Schizosaccharomyces pombe: one gene and its partners. The gene in region 3 interacts genetically with the main gene of each other region. Each region holds a gene or a part of one and is shown on either strand. Other genes may lie near its edges.

The links.
Region 1: mutations in ccq1 (region 3) and pcp1 impair growth when combined (synthetic growth defect), as found in Schizosaccharomyces pombe (one study listed by BioGRID).
Region 2: of ccq1 (region 3) and trt1, changing one enhances a phenotype caused by changing the other (phenotypic enhancement), as found in Schizosaccharomyces pombe (2 studies listed by BioGRID, with this or other methods).

Annotation. Positions count from the first base shown.
Region 1 is NC_003424.3:3,253,851-3,259,815, forward strand, and holds pcp1 (gamma tubulin complex linker, pericentrin/kendrin Pcp1), read right to left. Parts: upstream 4,431-5,965; 5' UTR 4,316-4,430; coding exon 689-4,315; 3' UTR 551-688; downstream 1-550. Other genes in the region: pcd1 (coenzyme A diphosphatase), read left to right, coding at 1-520; ARP2/3 actin-organizing complex subunit Arc4, read right to left, coding at 4,722-4,898, 5,080-5,203, 5,334-5,536, 5,592-5,594; ubiquitin hydrolase Ubp6, read left to right, coding at 5,851-5,965. UniProt on the Schizosaccharomyces pombe protein: Spindle pole body component that binds calmodulin. Overexpression of pcp1 causes the formation of supernumerary SPB-like structures and disrupts both mitotic spindle assembly and chromosome segregation.
Region 2 is NC_003423.3:2,061,922-2,067,951, forward strand, and holds trt1 (telomerase reverse transcriptase 1 protein Trt1), read right to left. Parts: upstream 4,190-6,030; coding exon 3,932-4,189; exon of another isoform or gene 3,876-3,931; coding exon 3,795-3,875; exon of another isoform or gene 3,724-3,794; coding exon 3,605-3,723; exon of another isoform or gene 3,594-3,604; intron 3,554-3,593; coding exon 3,291-3,553; intron 3,255-3,290; coding exon 2,862-3,254; intron 2,823-2,861; coding exon 2,752-2,822; intron 2,713-2,751; coding exon 2,443-2,712; intron 2,403-2,442; coding exon 2,286-2,402; intron 2,235-2,285; coding exon 2,065-2,234; intron 2,024-2,064; coding exon 1,839-2,023; intron 1,810-1,838; exon of another isoform or gene 1,793-1,809; coding exon 1,644-1,792; exon of another isoform or gene 1,603-1,643; coding exon 1,389-1,602; exon of another isoform or gene 1,352-1,388; coding exon 1,102-1,351; exon of another isoform or gene 1,063-1,101; coding exon 896-1,062; exon of another isoform or gene 853-895; coding exon 756-852; exon of another isoform or gene 714-755; coding exon 551-713; downstream 1-550. Other genes in the region: PWWP domain protein Pdp1, read right to left, coding at 1-261; rsm23 (mitochondrial 37S ribosomal protein mS29), read right to left, coding at 4,587-6,017.
Region 3 is NC_003421.2:1,484,515-1,489,178, forward strand, and holds ccq1 (shelterin complex HEAT repeat subunit Ccq1), read left to right. Parts: upstream 1-1,625; 5' UTR 1,626-1,788; coding exon 1,789-3,996; 3' UTR 3,997-4,164; downstream 4,165-4,664. Other genes in the region: signal recognition particle subunit Srp54, read right to left, coding at 1-64, 545-622; ubiquitin hydrolase Ubp5, read right to left, coding at 4,420-4,664. UniProt on the Schizosaccharomyces pombe protein: Component of the meiotic bouquet that facilitates meiotic nuclear reorganization of the telomeres to the centrosome. Links telomeres to the meiotic centrosome component pcp1. Essential for the formation of normal telomere clusters during meiotic prophase.

The DNA.
Region 1 (5,965 bases), on a different chromosome or scaffold from region 3:
TACGAGATTTGCATCTGTTTTGATGCCTCTAGTAAACACTTCTCAAGGAGCTTCTTTACTACTCACGCAACGTTCTCCAAACTTGCGTTCTCATGCTGGACAAATGTGCTTTCCTGGTGGCCGTGTGGAACCTTCAGACGGTTCTCATTATTATGCGGCATTAAGAGAAACTTACGAGGAAATTGGATTCCTCCCTAATTTTTTTACTTACTTGACTACTTTCCCTCCATTATTCACCAGAGATGAAAAGACTGAGATTCGGGCTTACCTTGCGTTTTCGGTGCAAACCTCCCTTCCTTCACTTGGGACAGGTGAAGTGAAAGATTTATTTTACGTTCCTCTCACCTCTTTTTTAAATCCCAAGCACCAAAAGATATCTCGATTTCGTAATACGGATTTGCTTTATGTCGAATTTAACATTGATAAGATTCCAAGAATTTGGGGAATAACAGCGGTTATATTAAATATGTATCTTAATTCTATTTGCCCGGATGCTCTTATCTCAATCCCAAAGTTTTGATTTTACGCTTTAATACCATTACTACATAGACTTAATTAATATTTATTTTTTCTTCTGTTATTAATAGTAATGCTTGATAATAAAGTCAATAAATTAAAATAATTATAGTAGTAGAATTAATTGAATGTTGTTAAAAAAAAAGAGAGTAAAAAACGTAAGTATCCCAGATTAGTAGTTTGCGGTCTTTGCCTTTGCGGCAGCTCTTTGCAATGATTGTTTCAATTGAGCTTGTTTTAGCCACTCATTCTTCATTCGCTTCATTCTTTCAATTGAACAAACAACGATAATTAGACTCTTCAGCTTTATGTGTTTCTTAGATAAATCAGGATCAGGTGAAATTCCAATTTTCTGCAGCATACGTAAATTTATTTTATTGCATGTTTCGTATCCTGTTAGTTGCATTAAAATAAATTTTTTTGAAAAGGCAAGGTCCAAACGAAGAGAGTGCTCTCTTCGACATTTCGATTGAAGATATTTAGTCAACTTAGAGAGTCCCTTTATTTCAGATTCGTATTGCCCTGACTGTGTGGATTGCGGAGTATTTGATTGTAAATTCTTATAGCGTGCACGTAATTGATTATAGTCATCTAACAATGATTTATATTCTTTTCTATTACGTTCCAAAATAGTAGACAGATGATCGATATTGTTAGTCTTAGACTGAAGAGCCTCCCTGAGTGTCTTAAGCATTAATTGGCTTTCGTCGGTAACATTGGAAGTCATCAATTCAGCTTGCTTCATAAAATGATTGTTATAAACCTCTAATTCCTTCTGGATTTCCTTTAGCCTTTCTTCCAGTTCATTTTTATCTTGTACTAAGTTGTTCTGATAATTAAACTGGTTTGATCGATAACTTTCAAGCTCATCGATAAGTATCGAACGTTCTCTTTCTAACCATTTAATCTTTTCCTGCAACTTGGTTGTTTGCTTATTATAGCTGGAAATATCATCCATGAGTAAATTTCGATTTTTTAGTTCATCTTGAAGCGCAAGCTTTAGATCTTCAATCGTTTTCTCAAGGTACTCGATTTTAGAAGTATGTTCAGAAGGATATAAATAGCCATTCTTCCGATCAGGAGAGCTAAAAAACTTTTGGGCAGCGTTTTCCAAGTCATTCATCTTCTCACTAACGTTTCGATTTCGTTGTGCAAGAATATCATGCTTTGTCTCAGTTCCCAATCCAAATTTTTCAAAGCTTCTACTAAGTTCCTGTTCCTTTTTACCAGAAAACTGTACAAAATCATGCCGTAACTCTTGCTTCAACGACCGAATCGTTTGGATTTGTTGATTGACAAAATGTTCAATTTGACTGACTATCTGCAAAATACTCACCGAAGAATAATCACATCCCATCAAAAGGCATAGTCTCTTTTTGACAGCATTTTCTTCTATATTCGCCTCCTCAATTCCCCTATTTAAGTGATGCACAAGTTTATCTAGCTCCATTTTGTCAGATTCTAAATGACGAATTTGAGCAAGCTTGTCGGCCAACTCGCTATTGAGCACATTTATTTCTTTATTTTTCTCAATATCATCATTTGATCCAGATCGTATTTTTCTTTCTTCGAAGAGTTTTTTACTTAATTCGGATAGTTCTTCCTCCCTCCGGTCTAAGAGGTTTTGGGCATTTATTAATTCATTTTTTAGCGAAGAGTATTTTAACTCCAAAGCCTGTTTTTCGTTGCTCATTAATTCAAAACTAGCAGATAGCTTTTGTCCAGCCACTATGGCTTCTTCTCGTTCTTCTTCGCTAACATCTAATTCGTCTTTTACGTCGGTAAGCTGCCGCTGAAGTACTGAAATTTTATCGTTCAGAATTTCCATTAAATTTGTATTATCAAGGTCTTTCGCATTTCCAGATAAATATTTCTTAATGGATTCTCTTTCTTTTTCGAGCATTGCAACTGTCTCTCGTAATGAACTAATGACCAAGTTCTTCTTTTCCAAATTTGAAGTCAACTCTTTCTCTCGATCTTGTAATTTATTAATGGATTCATGAAACCGCCGCAAATCGTTGTCTTTATACTGAAAAGCATTCATCACTTCATTATAAGTTTCTTCTTTATCCTTAAGCTTATTTCTATATTCATCAATAGTACCGTTTAATTCAGAAACGTTGACTTCGTATGACTTGATACGTTGTTCTAACTCATTTATTAAACGGTCTTTCTCTTTGGTAATAGAGTCAATCTTCAAAGTTAAGCCTTCATTTTCCTCCCTAAGATCGTGTATCTCGTTTAAGTCATTAGAATTCTTCATTCTAAGGGTTTCCAGTTCTTTAGTGACTTCTTGCAATCGGATATTCGTTTCTGCAAGTGCTTTATCTGAATTTTTAGAGGCAAGAAGACGTAAATGATTCTTCTCTTCATCTATTTCACGATTTTGCGTACGTAAAGACTCAATTTGGTTACCCAACGAGGAGGTCATCAACCGTAAACTGTTATTGTCATCTTCCAAAGTTTGGAGTTTGGATTCTAGCACGTCTCGTTCTTCTTCCAAGCTTCTAAATTGAAGCATAATATCTTCAAAGTTTTTACCTTCTTCGTTCATTCGACTAATTTGATCATGTAAAAATTCGATTTCTTCGTTCGCTTTGTGTAATTGTTCTTGAAGGGTATGTACTTGCATGGAATCTGTCAAACCAATTGAGGCCTCGGATTCATGCATTATCTGATTTTCTTTCTCTTTTTCGAGATCGGCAGTAAGCACTTGTATTCTATCCGCAAATTCATCACATTTGGCTTGCAAAATCGCATAGTCTTCTTGAAGATGTACGTAGCTTGAATTCTCCTCATTTTCAAAAGCTGAAGAGCTATTCTCCTTTTCCTCAATCTGTCTTTTCAGGGTGGCAATTTCGTCTTCTTTCTCAGTAAGCAAATCTTGAGCAACATCTAGCTCTTCCGATAATTCATCAAGCCGATTTTGTAACTGTCGTATTTCATATTCATAATCAACTTCCTTGTTACTTTTATCCTCTTCCATCTCTGTAGATAAACTGTCTTTTTCCCTTTGAACTTTTTCCAAGGCATTCTCCAAAAAACGAATGCGCTCCGTAAAAACTTTTACATTCTGGGATTGCTCGACATCATTAACCTTAGATAAATAATCGACCTTCTCTTCTAATTTGAAATTCTTGTCTTCAGACTTTTGAAGTAAAGATTCAGTTCTCTTAAGCTGAAGCTGTAAGTTTGCTCGTTCGGCATGCAACTCAACATTGTCTTTGACAGCTTCTTTTATCTGTTCGGGAGCCATAGACTCAAGTCGCTTTTCCAAACATACAATTTTGATTCGAAGTCCAAAGTTTTCTCTGCTAACTTTCTCAAGGACCTTTTCTTGCTCACGAAGAGTAAGGGCGGCATTTGCAGGCAATTCTCCATCTGTGTGATCTATTTCGGAATTTTTCGAGAGATCGGTAAGCTTGGAAACGTCGTAAGAGTCATTTCCCTGACTGATGCTCAAAGCTTCTTGAGTAGCTTGTTTAGATATAGCAGATAACCCGTAGGAATTAGGGTCAAAAGAGCCTTTATCGCCCAAACTCCCGTTGTATTTATCTGAGTTTTTATTTGAAGACTGTAATAATGGAGTAAATTCCAAACTACCTTTTGGTTGATAAGAGCCGTTGCGCAAAGGCGTCTGGAAAGATGATTTATCATTAAGGTACGAACCACGGAAATCAGAATAATCATCGTTATTATTTTTGAGTGATTTCCCCAAAAAATCAGATTGGCTGATCACAGAATTCGCGTTTTCATCTTTAAATTTGGGAGATTGCGTATTAAAATCTCGTTCAGACATAACGTAACTGCGGATGCATGTATTTATTAAAATTATCCACCAACTAGCGCAAGTGCATAAAATTATATAGAAACTACTTATTCTGGCAGAATCATTAAAAAGCAAAAATGTTGTTGATTGTAGTTTGTTTACAGTCGTCAAATGATCAAATAAACTACGAAACAGCTCCCTAATATAAGTAACAACATATCGTATACTTTCGTTATATCTTGTAAGGATGCTAAAAGTCAAAAGGCGAGATTGTAGATATGAAGGATTATCGAATGTAAAACTGCCTTGATATGTTTATTGTACTCAATACAGAATAGAAGAGATAGGAATTTTATTCGGAAGAAGTATTTGGTGCTCATTTATTTATGTATAAATTGATAAAATCATCGATAGGGTCCAAAACGTAAACATGAATCTAAAAACAACTCAGATAAGTTTCAGCAACAAGACGAGCTCTTCCGTTCAAGAAAAGTTTCATCTCACTAATTTCAGCGTCAACTTCCTCCATAAACTCAATAATGAAATCAACTAATTTGTGCTTAAGCATTTCCTCAGTATGGTAATTAGTTATAAGAAAGGAAATATCATAGCCCTATAACAAAGAAAGGTTAGTTTGATGATATTTACAAATAGCAATGGCAACTTCGAAAAAGAAAAAAAAGAAGAACTATACAATGGCTGAGGCAGAACAGTGAACACTTAAACTAACGCAAAATCTCTAGAAATTCTTCCCTTGAACACTTTTTTGCCAATTACAATTTGTAATAACGTACCTGAACAGGTTTGCGGCGCAAAATAAAGAAAGATTCTGCACGACCCATTAAAAACTGCATAAATTTGCGCACAAGAATTCGTTCAATTTCATCGACTTGTTTAATACGAATGCTGAAACGAACACTAATTTCATAAATGCATCAGTAAAAAAAATCCAAATAATGAGAATGACTTTCAAAACTCCGTTATTCCAAATCGAAAGATCAGTGAATGTACCAGTTCGAATCGGAAACATCGGATGCCTAAGACATACCTATTAACAGAGCTCTCAATCAAACACTGTTCTTGCTCATTACGAGAGACCACCAGGGGCTTTAGTAGAATTTCAGGAGACCGTCCAACCTCAACTTCCGGCTGACTCTGGCGTTCTACAATTTCTGATGAGAATTCCTCTAATGCTAAAGAAGCAGTCAGAGTAGAACGAACTGCGTTTAAATAAGGTCTTAAGGTATTAGACTATGCCTTCGTTAATAAATCATATCTTTTTATAACAAAAGAATTCCTCTCTTACCATAATTAGAATCTATGGAGTCAGTCTCCGGGTTTGGTTTTGTGCTAACACGTAGTGTCAGTGTGATATTGCTTAACGAGTTTAGCGGCACAACCACGCACGCTGCGTGGTGTTACCGAAAATGAGTATATAGCTCGTTACTGTATGGCCTTCACCAAGTACCAGCAACATATATAATAAGTATAATTTGCAAAGAATTACAAAAAAAATTATATTGGGCTTAAACAAGTATTTCTTTCATTAATTACAAAAACCATTTATGATGATTCCCATAGCAATTCGTTGGCAAGGGAAGAAGTACGACTTAGAGATTGAACCTAATGAAACAGGAAGCACCTTGAAACATCAACTATACTCGTTGACACAAGTTCCTC
Region 2 (6,030 bases), on a different chromosome or scaffold from region 3:
ATTAAATGAGCTATTAGTATTCAAACTATCCTTAGTTTCTTTTCGTCTCAGTAGCAAGGCCGGCCACCATGGATAACCTGGGGCTTTTACCAAAATTCGGTCACCAAAATTTAGCCTGTCATCTGCAGAAGCTTGTTCCAAATTATCCTTGCTTTCTTCAACAACACTGGGTATATTACTCTCTTTTCCTTCGGATATGCTTAATCCCCCTTGTTTAGAAGATAATCTTCGTCTTTTTGCATTAGTGCGGGCATTATTCATTATAGAAAACCACTTTCCTTATTCTAAATGAAAGGAGATTAGCCTCATGTATTACTTTTAATGTTTAACCACTCCCGTTTAATGGGCATGTGGGCAGTAGTCAGCAACCACTGTCAATCTTTCTTAAAAGTATAAGGATAAAGACAAGTCAATCAAAACTAATAACGAGATTAATTTTACTTTACTAGAAATCCTATAGTATGCTTGCTTTGGGGGTCAGCTATACTTAGTAATAATATTGTTTAAGACACCAGTAATAAAGGATGTATATAATAAATTGAAAATGACATTAATCAGCTATTCTTCTATGTAAAAATAACACCTGTCGCAAAACTGGTCTTAGCGGCTTGATAAGATCAGTCAATGACTGAAATTGGTATATTAGCTGTTCGAAGCATGGATGATATTTGAAAGAGGGTTTCAAACCATCTCTCATTCCAAGACAAAAAAGCCTGATGTGTCAATATTGCTGAAGTCTCGAGACCGACACGTACCATTTGACTTCTGCAGAGGACAAGAAACGCCTACTCGTATATCCTAATATTTCGGCCAACTTTTTCCAAATTTTTCTTCCAATAACATTCAAAAGATCTAAGGTTAATTAATGACTTTTCTAGTTAAAATAAGTACTCACCCGTTATGAACATTCTTTGGGGAATAAATATATCCTTCATCCTTTTTAAGTATGCTTGTGCTCTCATACACATAGAGTATCCTAGCCTATATATATTGCAGCAAGAATTGAATTTTGAATTGTGGGTAATGTCAATAAATACTTGTGCAAAGGATGCAAGGCTCGATCTGATTATTTGTCAGCTATTATTCAGTTACACAGTATACCTTAGAATTTTGTAAAAAAAAGATTTCCCCATATGTTTCGTCAGCTCTACAGATGTAGAGTTAAATAAGGCTTCATCAATTTTAGGACATGCTAACAATGTATCAAGAGACCTCATGTTCACAGAGAAACCGAAGAATGGCATTCTTTTCTTGCTTTCATTAAAAAAAGTATTGTTTATTATCCCATTACTATTTTCAAAGTTTATTACTGTTTTCTCCAGGCTCGTAGAAAAATTGTGTTTCTCAAATCCTTCAACGGTTAGAACTTAGGAATGACAGCAACTCACCTCTTAAAGATAAATTCAAAAATTTTTTTGCATCCTTTTTATTAACTGTTATAAAGAGGAAATCGTCGACTACTCGTAACAACACTGATCCTTTCTTTTTCGTAAACGATAGGTATTCATCAATCAAATCTTCCATATAGAAATGACACAAAAAAGATGACAGAATTGAGCCCTGAGGGATACCAACTTTTTGAAGGTATTGAGAATTTCCTATCTAGTTTCATTAGTGTTATTACAATTCAACAATTGGTATACCTTAACAATGTGTCCAGAGAGATGTTCCTTGAGCATTTTAAAAATTTCAGAAGAACTTTTGGTCCAATAATCCACAAAATCAACAAACAAAGTATCTGATGTTTTCATAGAAAGTAACTGCACGACTTTTTCAAAAGGCACCATATCAACTAAAAAAGAATTTGTTAAAAAATTCCAATGAAAAAATAAACTTACAATAGGAAAACGCCTCACTAACAAAGTTTTTTGTAGCTCGGTCACTTGTTGCATGTATGGTTGCATACTTTCGAATTACAAATTCGGGATCCTTGAGTTTCTTTTTAACAATCCGAAACATCAAATCTTGCTTTATTCGATCATAACAGGATTTTATATCTATCCGTACAAAATACTTCTTACGCCTGCAAAATTAATAATGAGGAATCGCGCATTATATAATTACCCAAACATTCGGTGCTTAAGAAGATCCTTCTTAAAAGTAAGAAGCTTCATGTAAACCTCCAAGTTAAATGGAATACCACTACTTTCTTCATTGATTAAATGTTTCAGTATCGATGCCACAGGTCGTAAAGTTTGGTTCGTACTGACTAACATTTTTTTGTTTGAACCCATCTGCTAATAATAGATTAGAAGTAAAGTACATTGATGACCAAAAATTAATACCTTTATTAAGAATCTTTTTCTTAAATTCGTAATGAGACGAAAGGTATTCTTCTTAGGTAATAGACGAATAACTGCTGGAGGCAAAGTAGTTTTCTGAGTATCCATCCTAACATTGTTCTGAAAATATTAGCTTTTTGCAAAAAATACTTTAAAATACCTCGTTTATTTTTTCAAACGCTTCCATTTTCATTGATGTAATAAAGGGTCGGCACAAGAGTTTCCAAATATCTTTTCTAAAATAAACAGTTCGATTTCGTAAATCACTTGATTCAGTGATATAAAAAAAAGATTGTAAAATAGGTATTATAAACGAATTGTATAGCCAGTAGATGAATTCCGCAAATATTTGCTTGCGTTTCTCAAAATCACTTAAGCACATTTTCGCATTTGACCTTTTTCCAAGGACTAGCCATTCAATTTCTGAAATCTGATTGTTAATTAATGGTAAAAAAATTTGGCATATTACCTTTATGTTACTCATTAAATAATGTAAACTAAAAGACTCGTATCTCGATAATTTCAAGAAAGTTTCGAGGTCTGGTAAAATCGTTAGTGGTAATAAATTTTATACAATACCTTTTAATATTATCTCAAATATCCTTTGGTTACCCCAGATTAATTTAGGAAACACTCGAACAAGAATGGATCGAAGAAACGCAAACACCTGGTTCGGCTTTAAGGAATAACTAAGGATTTTTTCATCATCGTGGGTGTCAATATATGGGCAATAATGGTTGTAAACTTTTGATAGAGAAATACGATGGAGTCGCTTTGCTGTTTGTTCAATTAAAGGGTATACCTTTAGGAGACGTTTGGGCACAACTGTACTCTGTGATACCAGTGGAATCACTTTGTGCAATTGCTTCACTTGAAATGCGTTTATAAGTCCAAATTGCCTTGGAAAAATCCATTGAAGCCACATGTGTACTGTGTTCCGATCACAAATAGAGTGTAAGTTAAAATATAGATCTAAAATTAGTTATGAAGGATAACAGTATTAGTTACCTTGCTTAAACTTCTTATAGGATGACCTGTAAAAAATGCTAAACCTACTAATTGAAATGCTATTCCAGGAAACTTCTTTGCGGGCGCTTTTATTTTGAGTAATGGATGTTTCAATGGTTCGCTTTCTTTTTTTTGACACAGTTTCCTCAAACACATTATTTTTAAAAAGTGGTATGCCAGAAATCTGAAGGTAATTGTCATTTGGAAGAGCCTCAAAAATACTTCCTTTGGATAATAAGTAATGCATGGCATCACTGCCGATACTATACTTGTCAGTCTTGTTCAAAGTGCGCAACATCTTAACCGGTATTTACATTTCTAACAAAAGTTGCCAATTTTTTGACTCAAGTATAGATATAAGGTAATTAGGAAAAGTAGAAACGAGATCATTTTGTACTCCGTTTACATGCATGGCTCGAAAATCTTCATGATTCTTTATCGGTTAAATACAATCTCTTTGAAACAGTAATTGCAGGTAAATATTTCACAATTAGAATACCTTACCATGGAAAACCCTTTCATCAGTAGATTCCTTCGACGCTCAAAACTTTCATCGAACATCTGTTTTACAACATTCGCTATTAGCTGCCCATATATTAGCTATCCCGAATAGAAAAAAATCAAAACAAAAATATATATACCTCTGACTGTGAGCATTTTGGAGAAGAAAATTGAACACCTTCATCTGGCTTACTGTCGAAGCCGACTACAGTCGAATGAAGAAAAATAGAAAAGGACGTTTGTACATCGCTTCTCAAGCGTTCGCATATATTGCTATACGAGCTTGCCGGCGACCCTCTCAAAACAAGTTGTACATAATCATTTAAGGTACATAGGTATACATATTGATTCTCTAGAAAGCGAAGAATCCTGCTTTTGGGGGTATGGTGTTCGGTCATGCAAGTTACAAGTAACCATTAAGCATAACTATATATATGCAAAGTGTCCTACTGATCATAACGTTTTAAATAAATAGTGACCGCAAATATTGATTAATATTTATAATTATAGGATTTTTTTTATATAATGATAGCTAATAAATGTTTTGCAAAGTATCTTTAAACTAATAACATTACACGAGTAGAATCACCAATCTTTCTACTACTATCAATTATAAGCGAAACTAATTTAGATTATTCATTAGGGGGAATAGTGAAAAAGGTACGATTCCAGGAGTAAAACGGAAAAAAGCCTAATACGAGATGATACATATTTGGAACAACATGAGAATAGAAAATAGAAAAATAAAACCGCGTTAAAGGAGTTGTAGTGGATAGAAATTTTTGAATATCTCAATCATGCTAGACGTGTGCAAGCATCAAAAAACTTTCGCGGATTACCACCACTAAGGACATGATTTTGCAAATAATTATCAACCTTTTCAAGGCAAACGTTGGATGATACCAAATACTCCATCATGCGACGTGACTCATCTAAAGTGTAAGGCTCCATGTTAAGAATATGCACGGACTGTAATGAATCTAATATAGTCTCATCAGAAGATTTGTAAGGATTTCTGTGAGCTACTCCAAGAGCTATATCCAATGACGGGGTAGAAACACGCGGTTGGCTAGAAGTAGCAGCTAAAACAGTACCACGATTAAAAGTAAGCGAACCCGAAATATATTTGAAAAGTAAATTAATAAAGTAAAAGTCTTTAGGGGGAAGGAAGTTGTTCTTTTTGTCCTTATACTTGGTAACGACCGATAAAATAGAAATATTATCGATCACTAATAACACCTTCATATTGGAATTTGACTTGGTATTGTTATTGAGTTCTTGTAAAAATATTTCCAGAGATTTAGGAGCGTTCGAGGAAGCAATTAGCTTATGAAGAAAGGAAAGTAAATCGGTACCAGCAGGAATGCATTCGTTCTGAAGCAACTCATGACTTTCAAAGGTCTTTAGCTTCTTAAGTTTATCAGAATTAGTTTTCATAACAGAAGTTAGAAATCCCTTAATTAAATCTGGTTGCACCCACAACTTGAGTTGCTCATCATAACCATAACTACTCGTTGAATTTACCCATCCTTCGCAGTTATGGACTGGCAAGACTATAAAATTAGGTTGTGATAAGGCGAAAAGTTCAGCTTGTATGAGAGCAATACTTCTTCCTGAACCTGGAGCACCATCAAGAAGAAAACGTCCGTCCTTCGTACCCTGGTCTTTGGAGCGCTGCAGTACATTCACTAATTCAGTTGTAATTTTCCTGTGCAAAAGGGAAGCACTGGTAAAAAAGGAGAAACTTTTTTTTTGTTTTTCTAAAGCCCCAAATCCATTAAGTTTATTAAGCAATTCCTCGGGGATTTTAAACATCTTACCTTCAGACTTGCTGGACCAAGACATATGCGGATGAATTTCAGAGGGCTTCACCTCTTCTAAAGTATTTTCTCCTTCATTTAAGAGATGATCCAATACAACGCTACTATTGGGAATAGTCGTCGATTTCTCTACTGACGAAGTTGAGGGGGGAATTTCATTAATTCTTGGCGCTTCCGAATTTTTTTGACGCTGCTGGTTAGAGCTTGAATGTATATTTCCTCCAACAGGTCTACCCGTATGCTGGTATTGTGAGGATGAATAGTATTTGTTAAATGTGCATTTTTCAAAAGTGTAGAGTCCTCCCAGTTTACTACCGCAAACAGTCAGTTTTCCACCGGACAGGATATTAGAAATTCTCTCTGTATTCTTAATAATACTACTTCTGCTTCTAAACTTCGGTAGCATTTTGTTAGAGGTA
Region 3 (4,664 bases):
ATCGCACATTAACATCTGTTTCCAAAAGTGCCGTACATATATTTTTCAGCAGAGTATCGACAAGCTAAATAAAATTATTAGTAAAGGTTCGTATTAAAACGATAGATATCCTAATCAAAACAGAACATTGGGAAAACAAACTAGAGGTCATTAAAAAAATCTTCAGCTGCCTAAAAGTTGCTTGGTAAGTAAACCCTTTTAGTAACTTGAAACCAAAATCTAACATTGCATTATTAAAAAGGGTTTTAAATTTTCATGTCAAGGTAACGTCGATGTAAACGAAGATAATCCCAATATGCAATCAAGATATATATATATAAGAGATTGGATAAACCAGCTACGCAACTAGAAAAGCATATCTGTGGTAGATGATTTTTCTTATCGACAAATTTCGTAAAGCATGAAACGATGTTCATATACAGCGTGTAAAACATGGCAAATGCAAAATTTTTGAAGAAATCAAGCAAAGATGTATTAAATATTTTTATAAATGACATGGCTCACTCTCCGTATGAGAACAAATTTTCGATAGAATAAAACATACCTCTTCATTCACTGAAGTGGCCTTAGAAAAGTCCCCTAACGCAGAGTTCAAACGACGCCCTAAATCTGCAAAAACCATTTTGTCAGATTAAAAACTTCCAACCAGGCAATTTGAAGTTCGTCAAATGTGGTTGGTAGAGGATGAAGTCGTTAAGGACATGCAGTGTCTTCAAGCGAAAAGTCAATAGACAATTGAGGCAATATGATAAATGCCTAAAGATGAAGTAAAGAAGAGTTTGATATTATCTTTTTAAAAAATATTTTCACTGAGTTTAATACCGAGTTATTTCGCCTGCAAGCTTTTTATTGTTTTCAGTATAGGTGATATATCGACAGGATAGCGCAGCACAGCATTCCTATATAATACCTTGTTTGTATAATATTTTAGAATTAATCTATAGCAAAAGTTCAGTAGGTATAATCTTAAAAAATAAAATACTTATTAAGATTATACTCATGTGTAAAAGTGTTTGACTAGGTCCTGACAATTATTGATGCTTCTCTTTCTCACATTTGTAATAGAAACACGAATCGTAAATTCCGTGGTGGCTAACTTTGTCCCACAATCTTTTGATTCATACTTGCTGTAGTTTGTGTTTTAAGACGCTAATAGAAAAAGATCTAAAAGATTGATATTTGAAACTTTTTATATATTTTTCAGGCGTATGTTCTTATTCACCTTAAACTTTTTTGGAATTTTTCGTGCGTTAATCCAGCAATTAGTCTTAAGATCCAGTTTTTCCAAACTTCACGAAGGAAAGCACTTCCAAGTCCTTATAAGAGCCAGAATGAATTGCAATTAGCTGTTTTTTCAATATAAGACTAAAGATAAAGAATCGTTAACCCCTTAACACAAAATTTGAAAAAGAAATAACATTTACTACGCGTTATGGGTGAATAGTTATATTTGTTTACATAATAGACTTAAATAGAGAGGTGACGCGTTACTTTATTAAAATAAAGATTTGTTATATGAAAAAAAGTAATTAGAGCTCTTTTAAATGCTGTAAACATTTTCCGCTACACAGTGTATTTCGTAAAAATATGTACAAATTTAAAGGCGAACACGGAATTCTGGGAACAACATTTGGGTGGTTATTTGTAAAAACGATAATAAAAGACTCTTTTTAGACCATCTAATTCCTCTAAACGTGCGAAAATTATTTCTTTTCGGACGCTAAATTGGTCTCGTGTTGCAATATTTAAACATTCAATTTCTTGTTGAATTTTAACGTGGATGGCAGTATGAGCGAAATTAACGACTTTACGAATTCAATTATTATCAATGAAAGTGATACGAAATACGAGGTTTACTCTGAGGTGAATTCCAGTAATAGATGGATTGCCAAAGAGGATTGCCCTAGCCCGTTGGAAGATGTATGGCTTCTAAAATTAGCAGGCCATAAGAGAAAATTGGAAGAGCCTCTAAGTTGCATGCGTAATGAAGAACCTGCATCCAAACAAAGAGAGATAGAAAAATTTTTACGGACTGATTTGGATCACTCTGAAAATGACTTTTTAACTCAAGAGGTCGATGAATTCCCTTCTACCCAGCAGTTATTTCCTATTCCTTTGCAAAATGACACTGCCTTTGATTCTTCGGAAGAATCTATTACTAAATCTTCTAAATCCTCGTTCAGCGTGCTAGATATTGGCCTTCCAATGTCTGCGCTTCAAAGGAAAATGATGCATCGGTTGGTTCAATACTTTGCCTTTTGTATTGACCATTTTTGTACTGGTCCTAGCGATTCAAGAATCCAAGAAAAAATACGTCTTTTTATTCAATCTGCTCATAACATTGCAAAGCATCCTAGTCTGTATGATACTGAAGTTCGAAATCCCTCCGCTGCTGAATCCACTAATTCCCACGTTTCTTTAGATGCTTCTAATTTCTCTTCATATGCCGAAAATTCTTCAAAATTTCTTTTTTTGCAAGAATTATTCAAAAATCTTTCCCCCTCTTATTCTAAGACATTTTTTTTATTTATCTCCAACCAATTTCTTGCAAACACACTTACTCAATGGCTAAAATCTCAAAACATTGATGCTGAGTTATGGGCTGAAGAGGATGCAAAGACTAGCCAACATCCAGCAATTTGGATTTGTGTGTCCAAAAAGGCTCCCTCCGCTTCTCATTTTCTTCAATCTTGCCCAGATTTGAGTGCAACCATTTTTTATGATATCGAAGCATACATGAGTGTCACTAGTTCCTTGCCCTCTATTCAAAGCCTTGTCCTTAGGCTCATTCACTTGGGATCTATAGAACATGCCATAAAATGTTTTCAATCATCTTACAATGCCTCATTTTTAGTGAACATTGTGGGTGTGGTTGCCACTCTTAGTTCTTCTTCCGAGGAAAATTCAGAAGCTTCAAATTTGAGCACTTTGTTTGAGAAATCTGGGAACTTTGAGGAAATCCTAGGCTCAGAATCTCACTCTTCTATTACAGAAAAAACTCGAGATATTGCTAAAAATGTTGCGACCTGGTTAAAAAATGGAGAAAACTTCTCTTCTTGGCCACTACCTCCTCTAATGGATTTAGCAAGCTTATCGGTTGCAGAACCAAGGGATTCTCAGCCTTCTGTTTCTCAGGTGAACGATACTTTTGTCAAATCATCTGATAGTACATTTCCTTCGTCGCAAAGCATGCAATCACCTTCCAAACTCCACTCTTTAACAAGTAATGCCACCGATTTACTGTCATCAAGCTCACTAAAGAAAAACTTTTTTTCTCAACAGGAAGCTGATGAGGTAGAACTTTCCAATAATTATGATCTCCAAGGTGCAGCTGTCCAATACCTGCAGCGTCGTTTAAGAATGGTAGAAGATGAATTACACGAAGCCATTAATTCCAAAAACGTACAACAAAGTCGCTCAGAGGAGTTGGAGCAGCAAATTTCTAAGCTGACGGATAATTTACAAGAATACAGAAACACTGTTCGAGAGCTCAAGCTGGATTTGGAGAAATCGAAGAAAAAGAATGAAGACCTTTCAAAGCTAGAAGTTGAGAAGGTTGAAGAAATCGCAAACCTTAAAAAAGAGCTTACCCACTTAGCTAAGCAACAAGAATTTGGCTTTAAATATGTACAAGAATTTTCGAATGAAGATCTACAAGGCAAATTAATTGAAGCCAACGAAAAAAATTACAAACTTACTCAACTGTTAAAAACACAGAAAGAAGACGCTGATTTCATTACTAATCAATATCAAAATGCATCTACTTTTGCTGCTGAGCAAAGCAAAGAGGTTGCGAAACTTCAAGCTGAATGTAAGCGCTTACAAGCTATAAATTCTAAAGTTATGGAAGAGGTAAAAGTTTATAATGATTCAAGGGTAGAAGCATTACTCGCTAAGGTCTCTTCTCTGGAGGAGACCTTAAAAATTTTAGAGCAGAAGTCTCTTCCCAAATTTACTCCACATAATCAATCACCAAGGATTATTGATTCTAACTAAATCATTAACGATCAAGAACTTCAGTGGAATCAACTATAAAAAGTTCGTTTAGTCATACGGTTATTTGATTAAATTATGTCGTAATCAGCTTTTAATGAAACAATTTTAATTGTATTAATTTTTCAACAGTTGCAAAAATATATTGGTTTTCTTCATATATTCATCAAGAAGTTAGACATTTCGTTACATACTAGATTCAATGATCTATGTCATTAATTTTGAATTTGTTTTTGAAAGATTTTAATTGTATCAAATTCGAATATGCATCCTCAAAAGATGCAATATCAACATTGATGAAATAATTTTTTATGCTTCATATCATTTTGTTATGCTCGCAATATCGAACCTGTATAAAACTTCATGCACCTTATGCTCAACAGGTAAGGACCAAACAACCAGCAAGGATTGTAAAGCCTTTAAATACTAATTTTTCATCTGAATAGCACGGTCGAGTATATTCGGCTTCTTACTATCTTTCTTAGCACGATCCAAAGCCAATGTACCGTTTAGTTTTTCAACAACATCATATGTAATGTCTTCATCATTCAAATAGACAACTCTATTGTTATCAAAATCCACCACACAGAATTTAATAACGCTGAAAATGCTTTCTGGATACTGTGTGCGAGCTGCAAGACGTAGTTTTGTATCGATGAATTTTTCCTGGG